Rattus norvegicus: one gene and its partners. The protein of the gene in region 1 interacts with the protein of each later gene in a pairwise test. Links are inferred from orthologs where the notes say so. Each region holds a gene or a part of one and is shown on either strand. Other genes may lie near its edges. The genes, in order: Fam161a, Cby2 and Zbtb8a.

Region 1 (3,737 bases):
CTGTGGCATGGTGGGTGTATGCCCAGCTGGATGGCAGGGAGGTTAATCATAAGACCCCTTGAGATCGCTACTAAAACCGGGAGTGGATGGCCGCCATGGGAAGGAATGGCGGTGCTGTGGTCAAGATGTGCTACGGAGAATGGGGAAGCAGAGAGATCTGCTTTTTTTTTTTTTTTTTTTTAATGTTTTTAGGCCTGGAGAGATGGCTCAGTAGTTAAGAGCACTTATTTCTACAGAGGGTCTAGGTTCAATTCTCAGCAAACATATGGTGGCTCACAACCCCAGTTCCGAGGTATCCAATACCCTCTGATGTCTGTGGGCAGTAAATGTGCATGGTGCCCACACAAAACACTCACACACAAGTAATATAAATAAATAAACAAACAAACAAACAAACAAACAAATAAATATGCAATTTAAAATTCTTGTAAGAGACAGGGTCTCACTATGTTGCGTACGATGGCCATACACCAAATGGTTGAACTCATCAAAGACCTCCCCATGCTATCCCGAAGCCTCAACAGAATAAGAGCCGGGCTGACTGAAAAGACCAGACACTAAAGCAACTGTGGCAGGAACCTGAGGTTCATAGGGTTGGCGACGTGTTCTTTATTGAGCTGCGAGCCTCATCAGATCTTAAGCAAAATCACTTCCTTGGTGGACTGGATGAAGCTGCCCCAGAAACGGCATGTCTTGGCAACTGTAGGACACAACGAGATGGAGTACACACATGGAGGCCAGAGGTCCTGAAACAGGACGCTGGTAACGGCCCTAAATTCCAATAAACACAACCTGGGAGACTCTTTCAAACAGCATCGGCCTCTTTTGCAATTTTTTATCTTGCTCCTCCAATTCTTGCCAATATTCTTTCATCCTGGCCTTTTCGCTCCTTCTAGAATCAGATAAAGAGAACGGCATTTTAAAAGGTCAGCTACGGAAGCTCTATTAGGACATTCACTTCAGAAGTCAAATCAGGAAATGAGAGCACAGTTCGGGCCAGTTCCTTTTCTAGACTGACAGAATTCTCCTACGTCCAGAATAAAAAGCCAGGCCTTGAAGGCACACATTGTTCTGTTCTAGGAATCGTCTGGGCATTTGGATTTCAAAAGTTGTCAAGGCAAAAAGACTTCAAACTTGCCTGGAAAGTGTTTTATATAGAAATGTGCAAAAGCAAGAAAGTCTGGTCCAAATAGTTACCTTAAAAATATCCTTTCAAAAACAAGACCCTGAAACTGGGCAGTGCTTTTAGTCCCAAAACTCTGAGGCAGAAGCAGGCAGATCTTCTAGTTCCAGGCCAGCCTGGCCTACAGAGCTATTTCTAGGGCAGCCCAGGATACACAGAGAAACCTTCTCAAAAAAATTTAAAAAAAAAGACCCCACGTTTCTTCTTTGCCTAAATGAGATCACATAACGGGCAACATTAATTAAGTGGGAGCAGGAAAGCGAGACAGTGGGGCTCATGAGTATTTAGCAACAGAAGAGAGAAGCCAAAATGCTGGATGTTGCTGTCTTCCTCTATGGACCAGGCCCCACAAGGAATTACACCGCACTGTGCTTCTCTGGGTAAGCTATACTAAAAGCAGCCGAGACAAGAGAGTATCCCGGGTACAGAAAGTAATTATAAGTAATTATAATTACGCTTACTCAGAGTAAGTTGGCATTAACTTCCTACAAGTAAACACTGTATTCCTAAAGGAATGTTTTGCACAAGTTCATCAAACTAGGCTGTATTAGTGGGCTAATACCACACTGTAAGAAATACTCAGTGTTAAAAGCAGATACATGTATTTGGATCTTAGAGGCTAGTAAGTCATATTACTTACCCAGCTTTGGAGGAGAGCTTCTCTTGCATAAGCATGACCATTTTTATGTGCAATGTTTGGAATGCTGGTTTTCAAACTCTGCGCTATAGAATTCTAGTAATATTTTGCAGAGGAGTGTAGGTGTCCTGTGGATGCTATTAGCTTTCACAGGGAACAGTCATGAGGGGCAGCATGTACCCAGGACGCAGCCACTCAAACCGTTGTATTTGGTACAAACTTAAAACAGAGCTCCCTGACTTGTTTGTTAATTGAAAAAAAAATATTCTCTGGGCTAATAAGGCCAGATCAGTGTCCAAGGTCCAGGCTTTGATCCTCACATCCCCAGCACCAGATATACAATGTATGTATATACAATGAGTATATATGTATATATAATGCATTATGCACATGCATGTATATATGACAAATATTTAAAAGATTTATAAATAAGAACACACTCGGGGCTGGGGATTTAGCTCAGTGGTAGAGCGCTTACCTAGGAAGCGCAAGGCCCTGGGTTCGGTCCCCAGCTCAAAAAAAAAAAAAAAAAAAAAAGAACACACTTATAAGAAGGTTTTGTGCTGGTTTTAAAGCAGTTATTTTTTTTCTTTTTTCTTTTTTTTTTTCGGAGCTGAGGACCGAACCCAGGGACTTGCACTTGCTAGGCAAGCGCTCTACCACTGAGCTAAATCCCCAACCCCTTAAAGCAGTTATTAACTATGGCCATAACAGAAAATGCTTCTGGTCCACATGGTCTCATGGTTCTCACTCTGGAGGTGAGCATATACACTGACTGTTATCATAAGATGTGTATGTGTGGATATATGTGTGTAACAATTGAGGAGAAACAGCCAAAGATTATTTAAATCCATAAATTAAGATACCATAGTATTTTCATATCTAGGTATCCATAGTTACATGGAAAGGAAAGGAAAGGAAAGGAGAGGAAAGGAAAGGAAAGGAAAGGAAAGGAAAGGAAAGGAAAGGAAAGGAAAGGGGGAAGGGAAGGAGTTTGACAGCTGCTGTTGGAGTCCCCAGGCTCCTCCGTGGTACCTGAGATCGGTTACCCTGGATTTAACTAGCTGAGACAAGCTCTGCTGTGAGCCGTAAGCCTTAACCCGGGTTGCCAGGAGTTTCTGTAAGTCTCTCATTCTTTGCTTCTGTTTAGTTAGGATCCGATTTCTCTCTTCTTCCAACATTTTCTTTTCCTCAAGGGATTTCCTGAGGGCAACAAACTAAGGCTTAATTCACTTTAAGCCAAGGAGGAAGTTGTCCGGCAAAGATTTAACATGGGATAATTCAAAGGCCAGAAAAAAAAAAAAAAAAGGCCACCTTTTGACCAAAATCGTAATTGTGACATTGGAAATCCGAGTAAAACTGATGCTGTTTCTCTACCTTCCCCAAGGAAACACAGAAATCACATTTGTTTCTTAGAAGAACATTCTTAGCAAACGGTTCTCCACCATGTCATACAATACCTTGCAGATAATTTAGTAAATTCAGATTTATCAAGCCAAAACCCACAGGGCTTCTTCCTATGCCAGTTCAGCAACCATGTGACCAGGAGCGCCCATCCCAGTGCCTTACCTGATGGCTTGCTCGCGCCCTCGGGAAGACGCGGTGGGCATCGGAGGGCTGTATTCACAAGGCCTGGCGCTGGCGTGCGCGCTTCTTCTGGGGGATTTATGCCTAGGAGAAGGATTAGGCCTGCGTGTTTCTTTCAAAATTTCCTCACCCATTCGGATGTCTGCCAAGATTTTCTGTCTTTTATTGGAGTCACATAAGGATTCGTAAAGACAACACTGGTCACAAAGCACCGGGCAGTTCCGAAAGCTCTGTTCAGAGAAGGGTTCCTTCCATTTCTCCAAGCCTTGGTCACTGGGGCTCAGGCGCCTATGCCTGTGTTTACCCCTTGGCATTGCAGGACTTCTGGGG
Region 2 (3,132 bases), on another chromosome or scaffold:
ACATGGATTCTAAGGATCCTGAGTGTCACAGTCAACATGCAAAGACGTCAGGAGAGGAGTGGGTTATGGTTCTTGGCTCATTTCCTAAAGAATGTAACCCGAGGATCCTAACTAGGGACTTCATGTGCTAATGACAAGTCCATGTGGATTCCCCAATTTTTGTAGATTTTGGTAGGGGGTATTGATGGGCAGCGGTCTACAGGAACTCTGGCTTTCAGCTCAATGTCATTCTAAAAAAAGTCGGCCTGTCGGTCTGTGGCCTGTGCCCCATCTCCTAACCCCTTGCATTTTGCAAAGCCATTTTTTTTTTACTATGTAGCCTAGATAAGCCTTAAGTTCACAATCCTCCTGCCTCAGCCTCCTGAGTCTTAAAAGAGTACAGAAATGTACCATGATAGCCAGTTAAGACTGAAGAAGGGGAGAGAAGGTACAGGGGCTGAAAGAAGAGAGAGGGGGACATGTTAATGAGATAGTTAATGAAGGAGGAGGGGCAGGAGGAGGGGGAGGAGGAGGAGGGACAGAGGGAAAGAGGTAAGACGTTAAAAGAGCAAGAAGGAAGGAGAAGGAGAAGCCATAACTCCACGGTGGTGTTGGCTGGCCCCAGCCTCCTCTGCCTTTATTGTGTCTCGGGTGGATGATGGCCCTTTCTCCGCTGTCCCACAGGCACGCACTGCTGGGCCAACACAAGGAAGACAAAGGAAGGTTGAGGATTCTCTCCGGCCTGGTCTTGGCGTCTATGTCCACTGCCGAGGCCTCAGACCCTGCTGGGCTTTTTGGGATCTTTGTTGTTCTTGGCCGGCATGAAGGCATACAACTCCTCAATAAGCATCTCCATACGAGCTGTGACCTCAGTCACCGTGTCGATGACCAGCCGCTGCTGCAGCTTCAGCTTGTTGTTCTCCCACAGGGCCTTGTTCTCCTCCTGGAAGACGCGATGCTCCTCACGCATGGCGTGGAGAGCCCTGTTCTCCTCCTGCAGCAGCCGGTTCTCCTCCCTCAGGGCCTGCAGTGCCTGATTCATCTCTCTCAGCAGCTGCAGGGGCTGAGCGCTGTCAGTTAGATTAGGGCCTGCCTTGCCCTCTTCTTCCCCAGATGGCCCGGACAAGTTGGTAACCATCTCCCTCAGGGCGCGCAGCGTCTTCGAGTCCTCCTGTGTTGTAGGGGACGCTTTGGGCTCCTCAAAGTGGGAGGAGTGGCTTGTGCTCTGATCTGGCAGAAGCCCTGAATTATGGGGTTCCTCCTTGGGTGAGGAGGTGGGCTTGCCCTCCTCAGCAGAAGTCGCACTCTCTTCTGCCTGTGCCCAGTAGGCCTGCCTCTGCTCCAGCAACTGCTGGAGGGCCCGGTTCTCCTCTCGAATGAACTGTAGGGTGTTCTCCTTGCTACGCTGGGCAGGCAAAGTGGCGTTGTCTTTCTTCACTACTTCCTGGGAGGTTGTGTCTTTGTGCAGCAGTGGCGAGGAGGTCTGACTCTCCTCGTGGCCCAAAGTGACCTTGTGCTCTTCCCAAAAGACCTGTAGAATCTTGTTCTCCTTGCGGAGGGCCTTGTTCTCATCCCTCAGAGCCCTGTTCTCATCCCGAAGAGACTTGTTCTCTTCCTGCAGCAGGTACTCCTTGGCCATCCTCTTGTGGTGCAGTTTATGGTGGAAGGAGGAGGAGGGAGAGAAGTAAGGTGACTGCAGGCGGCAGCTCTCGTTCACCCAACGCCCATCTTGGAAGACAAACATCTCGTCGCTAAGCTGCACTCGGGGAGGGTTGTAGTCTAGTTCCAGGTCGGCCTGGGAGGTGGGGCGCTCCATGGGGTCAAAGGGCATAGAGGAGAAGCGGTTGAGTGGGTAGGAGTGCTGGCTGGCTACCCTGCGGCTTATCCGGGGCATGGCAGCCTGCCTGGAGCAGCGAGGAGTGGTGTATAGGTTGTGGAGCCTCAGGAAGGGCTCCGTGCCCCTCTGTGGGAGGAAAAGCAGGGAAGCTGTTAATGGAGAAACTGTTAAGAGGACTGCTCAGGGTGGACTAAGAGGCCTGGAGACCCCCTCATATGACCTCCAGGGATCTTCACAAGGAAATATACCCAGCCTTTGCTATTCTGGGTAGCATTCTTCTGAATTAATGATCACGGAACCATGGTTCCTAGGGGGAAAAATGGGGCAGTTTCATCATAAAATTTCTGTCGACTGACCAGATAGAACACCGTGCTTCTGTTTAAAGACACTGTCATGGATACGCAGACTGACAGTGGGTGCATCATATACCATGAGCAGAGTTTATCTGACAAGCTCGCTCTTCGGGGCACAGCACAGACCGTGGTTATTAAGAAGAGTCTTTATTCGGTCCCCAGCTCCGAAAAAAAAGAACCAAAAAAAAAAAAAAAAAAGAAGAGTCTTTAACTGTATCTGTAGATGCCACTTTAAACGGTGAAGCCAACAAGGAGCACAAAAGTTTCAAAACCAAGCTGGCTTATAAACTGAAAACAAGACCCTTTGCCAGGATGAGTGTTCAAACAAGGGGGAGCACCCGAACCACAGTTCTTGGCCGCATACCCACATACAAACTCTGTAGATCCTAGAGAGACCACAAATACTCTATGAGCACTAAAGCTGGTGTAGTCAAAAGGTCCATACATTCAGTCATAACTATAAAACCTATAAATAATTAACCGTGCACTGGGCAGGCCTATAACCCCAGATACTCAGAGACAGTGTAGAAAGGAATATAAGCAGAACTTCCAGACCATACTGGATGCTTTCTATAGCAAGTCCCGACCAGGACTGCATAAAACAAGACCCTGTCTCAAAAAAGGAAAAGTCACACATAATAAGACCCAATCATGTGGCAGAAATGAAAGGTACTTGTTTTTTTTTTTTTCTTAACCTCTGGCCTTACCACTTATCAGTTATATGAATCTGGGCAAGTTGTGTGAATTCCAGTTTCTACAGTGTTAACCTGGGATAACTGCACCACCTTGAAGAAGGCATCAGATTTCTCAGAGTCGATGTTACAGGCATTTGCAGGAAGTCCAGCTGGTTATGTGGCCGCATTTTACCTGTATAATTCACTTAATCCTCATAGCGCTGGCAAGCGAAATACTATTTTAGCTTGAACATCCCTAATCTGAGAGTTCTTACTTCCAAAGTGCTCC
Region 3 (4,435 bases), on another chromosome or scaffold:
TCTAATCAGTGCTAATTGTTTTCTCATTTTCTTTCTTTCTTTCTTTTTTTTTCAGACAGAGTTTCACTATGTAGCTCTGGCTGTCCTGGAACTATGTAGACCAGGGTGGTCTTGAACTCAGCGCCTCCTGAGTTCTGGCATTAAAGGTGTGTGCCACAGCACCTGGTGTCCTAATGATTTTCAAACAAGCTTCCTTCTGTCTTTCCTTCCGTGAGGAAACACATCTAATCACAGAGCACCTGGGGAGTAAACAGGTGTGACATTAGGAAATTGGTCTCTAACCTGGGACAAATAGCTGGGGTGCCTATTTAACATGACAAAGGGGACCTGGTCCGCCAGGTCCTCCCTGCATCCCTCAATCCATACCTGTTACAGGGCCCTCTTGACTGGTTTATCCTGCCCCCTAGTTTGAATTCTCCTGCCCAGGGGGCTGGGCTACTCTTCCTTATATAATCTAAGCATTTTGGCTACCCGCCCTCTTTGTAATTTTGGGTCCCCTGACTGCTGTACCTGGTTATGCTGCTCTCTCTTCTCCCTTCCCGCACCTCCTTTCTTCTCACAGGGCACAGCTCAGTCTGCTCCTGTCCACACTGTGCTCTCCCAGATGTCCCTGCCTCTGGCTATGCTCTCTCACATTCTAAAATCAACTTTCTCCTCCGCTATACCTAGGACCCGTCTTGTTCCTTTGCTTTCTATTTCTTCCTTCCGTCCTTTCTTTTCTTTCTTTTTCATTCAGAACTGAATGGATGTATTGATTCTCAATGATGTTCGAATGCATAGCTACTTGGGAAATCAGAAACCCTGGTGGGTATGACTTCAGGGATAGCTTCAAAATATTAAACGTATGCTTTGAAATTTTGAGTCCCCCCCTCCAATTTGGCAGGCAGTACTTGACAATCAGCATGAAGGAGTAGGAAACTAGTTTGTGGAATTTAAACAGTGTAAAAGTTCAGCAGTTTACTATTTTAGGAAATGTATTACCTGATATTTGTGTGCTCTGGATTAGGGTGACATCAGAAGAGAAACTTGGTTTACGACCAGTTTTTATATTTGAAAACAGAAAACCTGTTTTATTTTTATATCAAGAATCACGTTCTCTTATCTCAGCCCCTCGGGGCTTGCCTCTTCTAATGGTCTGATGGGGAACTACAGAGGTTTCTAAAAGGCTATGACTGCCTGGAATTAAGTGCTTTGACAAAGGGAAATTTTGTGGAAATCTCTCCCATTTTACGTCGTTAAACTTAAGCACAATAATGTCACAAGTACTTATACAGTAATTGTGGGCACGCCTAAGTCCCTCCCTCTCTCCTTGAACCAATATCCCCACATCTTAGAGATCCAGCCCTTCTGCCCTCCGGAGGCGCCTTTTCCAACGTAAAGTACAATTTTAAATTTTAAGCTCCCCACTAAAAGAATGATCCGCAGCCAACTGCTGGGGAACCTGGGCGCCCCAGAGCCTGCGGAGGGTGCAGTCGGGTGTGGGCACGGACAGGGGGAGTGGGCGAAGCTGCTGGTTGGTGCCTGAAATCTGTGCGTTGCCCCTTTAATTGTGTCCTCAGCCCTCGGGCGTTTCTGTCCAACGCCCACGTCAGCAAATACCTTTTGTTTCTCTCACGTTGGGGCTACTTGTTTTAGGGCGCAAAGCCTCGGCTTTGGAACAGGGTGCTTCCCCTACCAGGAACCGGGAATCGCTCCGCAGCGCGCGCGAGCGAGCAAGCGAGCAGCCAGAGCCCCGCGGTAAGTGGCTGCGCGGGCACGGGCGCGAGCGGGTGGAGGGCGGCCGGGGCGTCGGGGCTGCGGGCCGGGCCGAGAGCCTGGCGGAGGGCGGCGGGGCCGCCGGGGTGCGCCCCGGGGCTGCAGCCCTGGCCGGTGCGCCGGGCGGCCGGGCGCCATTTGCAGCGGAGGGCGCAGAGCCGCGGCTCCGAGGGCCGGCGACGGCCACAAAGGAGGCGCGGGCGGCGGCGGCGGCCCCGGGCGCGGCTGCGGGACAATGGCTGCACCGTCGCCGCCCGCGCCCGCCCCGCCGCCGGGCTTCCAGCCCCGGCCCGGCCCCGGGAAAGGCGGGAAGGCGCCGGTGAGGCGGCGCCACGGGGCCGGGCGTGTCTGCAGCCGTCGGACGCGGGACGCGGGGCGCGGGGCGCTGCAGCCCGGCGTTCTCACTCCGCCCTCCACCCTCTGGCTTTCCATCACGACGCGACAGTTCCGGGCTTAGAACCGAGGGCAGAAATATGGAGCCCCAGCTGGCTCCCGGCAAAATGTCCCTGGCATCTCCCACCGGGCGACCTGTCTGGCTTGGTCCCTTCGCGCTCTGGCGCGCTTACTCGCCCTTGACCGTGCGGTTAGCCATAATCCACGTCTTTCCGAGACGTGTTTGGAATAGGATTCACACCTAGCGGGCACCCAACCGCACACGCCGCCAACACCTACAACTCTTTATATTCGCAGAACTTTAGCAAATGGAGTGGTTTCACTTTGACGAAATAGAGCACTTAATTTCTTATGGGATGGCTACCGGTTCAGTCGTTTAGTCTACCTAGCAAAGGAAAAAAAACAAAAACAAAAACAAAACAAACCCGCTAACCATGGAGTCTCATCCCTAGGCAGGGAACTGAGAGGGGGGTACCCCCGCACCCCTAAGGCGCCCTGTTCTTGCAGCGTCCTGGAGCAGTCTTCAAAGAACTAAAAACCTTCGCTGATTTTATCACTTAGATCGCGCTTCTATTTACCTATTTATTCTTTGTTTTAAAGCGGACTCAGGCTAGATTTGAAATTCTGATCTTCTTACCTCCGTGGGAGTGCTGGGATGCACTAGACAAATTTCTGTCTTCAATGGCATAATTATATATTTTGTAATGTTCAAAGAGGTTAATATAAGTTTTTAAAATATCTCTTTTTTTCTTTTTCATTTTTTTTTTTTTTTTTTTGGTTCTTTTTTTTGGAGCTGGGGACCGAACCCAGGGCCTTGCGCTTCCTAGGCAAGCGCTCTACCACTGAGCTAAATCCCCAACCCCTTTCTTTTTCATTTTTTACGATATATATTTCCTTTTGGAGACAGGGTGACAGGGTTCCGTGTAGCCCAGGCTAGACCTAAATCTGTAGTTTATGATGACCTTGGACCTCTGATTCTCTTGTAGCCCCCTGCTAAATGCAGGGTTTACAGGCGTGGGCCACCGAACCTGGTGTTATCCTGTATTCCAACCGAACCCAAGGCTTTATGCATGTTACGTAGGCACTTTACCACCAAACCATATGCCCAGCCCTCTCAAAACCTTAAATGGCTCCTTTATGTCTTCCCAAAAAAATATACACAGGCCCCATGGTGTGTGCATGCGGCCTGCGTGCGCATGCGTGCATGCGTTTGTGCATCCCAACGCGCGCGCGCGTGCGCGTGCGCGTTTGTATTTTGAACCCAGGGCCTTGCATGTGCTAGGCAAATGTTATCGTTGAGATACACCCCCAAGCCCTTATATTTTAAATTTTAATTTCATTATGAGATGAGGGTTTTGCTTGGGCTGACTTGGTCTTACTTCTTCCCGCCTCAGCCTCCCAAGACCCTGGGGTTTAGGGGGCATTACCCACATACCACACAGTGGCCTGCTCTCCCCACCCATCCCTTCTCCATCTTCCGTTCCTGTTCGCCTCATGGCCTTTGCACCTGCTGTCAGTTTGCCTGGAGTAGGTACTTTCCTACTATGGGCATCAGTCCTCTCAGCGAGGCCTTCCAACCATAGTTCAAAACTCAAGTCTCTATTTTTTTTTTCTTAAGATTTATATGTGTGTGTGTGTGTGTGTGTGTGTGTGTGTGTTTTGCCTGCCTGTGTACTAAGTGGATGCCTGGTGTCAGATAAGGGTGGTGGATCCCCCTGGATGGGAGTTACAGATGACTGTGAGCCTCCATGTGGGTGTGGGGGATCGAACCTAGATCCTTGGAGAAACAGCCAGTGCTCTTAACTGCTAAGCCATGCCTCCAGCCTCCCTAAGGGTTCTAACATTTAATCCTAAAACTTTCCTATCTTGGACCCTGTAGCCCATATGTGCTACTAAGATAATCAAAGAAAGAACAGTCGATGTTGCCTACCTTTAATCCTAGCAGAGGCAGGCGGATGTCACTGATTTGGAAGCCAGCCTGGTCAACAGATCAACCAAAGAACAGGTATTTACTTCTTACACCTGTAAATGCCGGGAAGTTCCAGATTATGGTCCCCTGACTGGCAGCTGCTTTCTGCTTCCGGGATGGCACCTCCTCACCACATACATAATGAGGGTAAATACAGTCTGTGTCTTCATTAGTAAAAAGGATAAGAAGGGATAAGGCCAGGAGCAGACCTACTCCTCAAACCCCTTTTGAAGGATGTTAATCCCGCCCTGAGGGCAGTGCCCCTCCCCCCCCACGGCGGCCTAATAACCCCCTAAAAGCTCCTGGTCATACTCCTCC

What was found.
Region 2: the proteins of Fam161a (region 1) and Cby2 interact in binary tests that used the Homo sapiens proteins (3 or more experiments, as listed by UniProt). The two-hybrid records come from large-scale screens. The link is inferred for Rattus norvegicus from reciprocal best matches to the Homo sapiens genes FAM161A and CBY2.
Region 3: the proteins of Fam161a (region 1) and Zbtb8a interact in binary tests that used the Homo sapiens proteins (3 or more experiments, as listed by UniProt). The two-hybrid records come from large-scale screens. The link is inferred for Rattus norvegicus from reciprocal best matches to the Homo sapiens genes FAM161A and ZBTB8A.

The regions. Positions count from the first base shown.
Region 1 is NC_086032.1:101,220,634-101,224,370, reverse strand, and holds the end of Fam161a (protein FAM161A), read right to left. Parts: coding exon 3,390-3,737; intron 3,024-3,389; coding exon of another isoform or gene 2,856-3,023; intron 893-2,855; coding exon 772-892; 3' UTR 590-771; downstream 1-589. UniProt on the Homo sapiens protein: Involved in ciliogenesis.
Region 2 is NC_086033.1:57,318,235-57,321,366, forward strand, and holds the end of Cby2 (protein chibby homolog 2), read right to left. Parts: intron 1,943-3,132; coding exon 755-1,942; 3' UTR 586-754; downstream 1-585.
Region 3 is NC_086023.1:147,002,710-147,007,144, reverse strand, and holds the start of Zbtb8a (zinc finger and BTB domain-containing protein 8A), read left to right. Parts: upstream 1-1,599; 5' UTR 1,600-1,737; intron 1,738-4,435. UniProt on the Homo sapiens protein: May be involved in transcriptional regulation.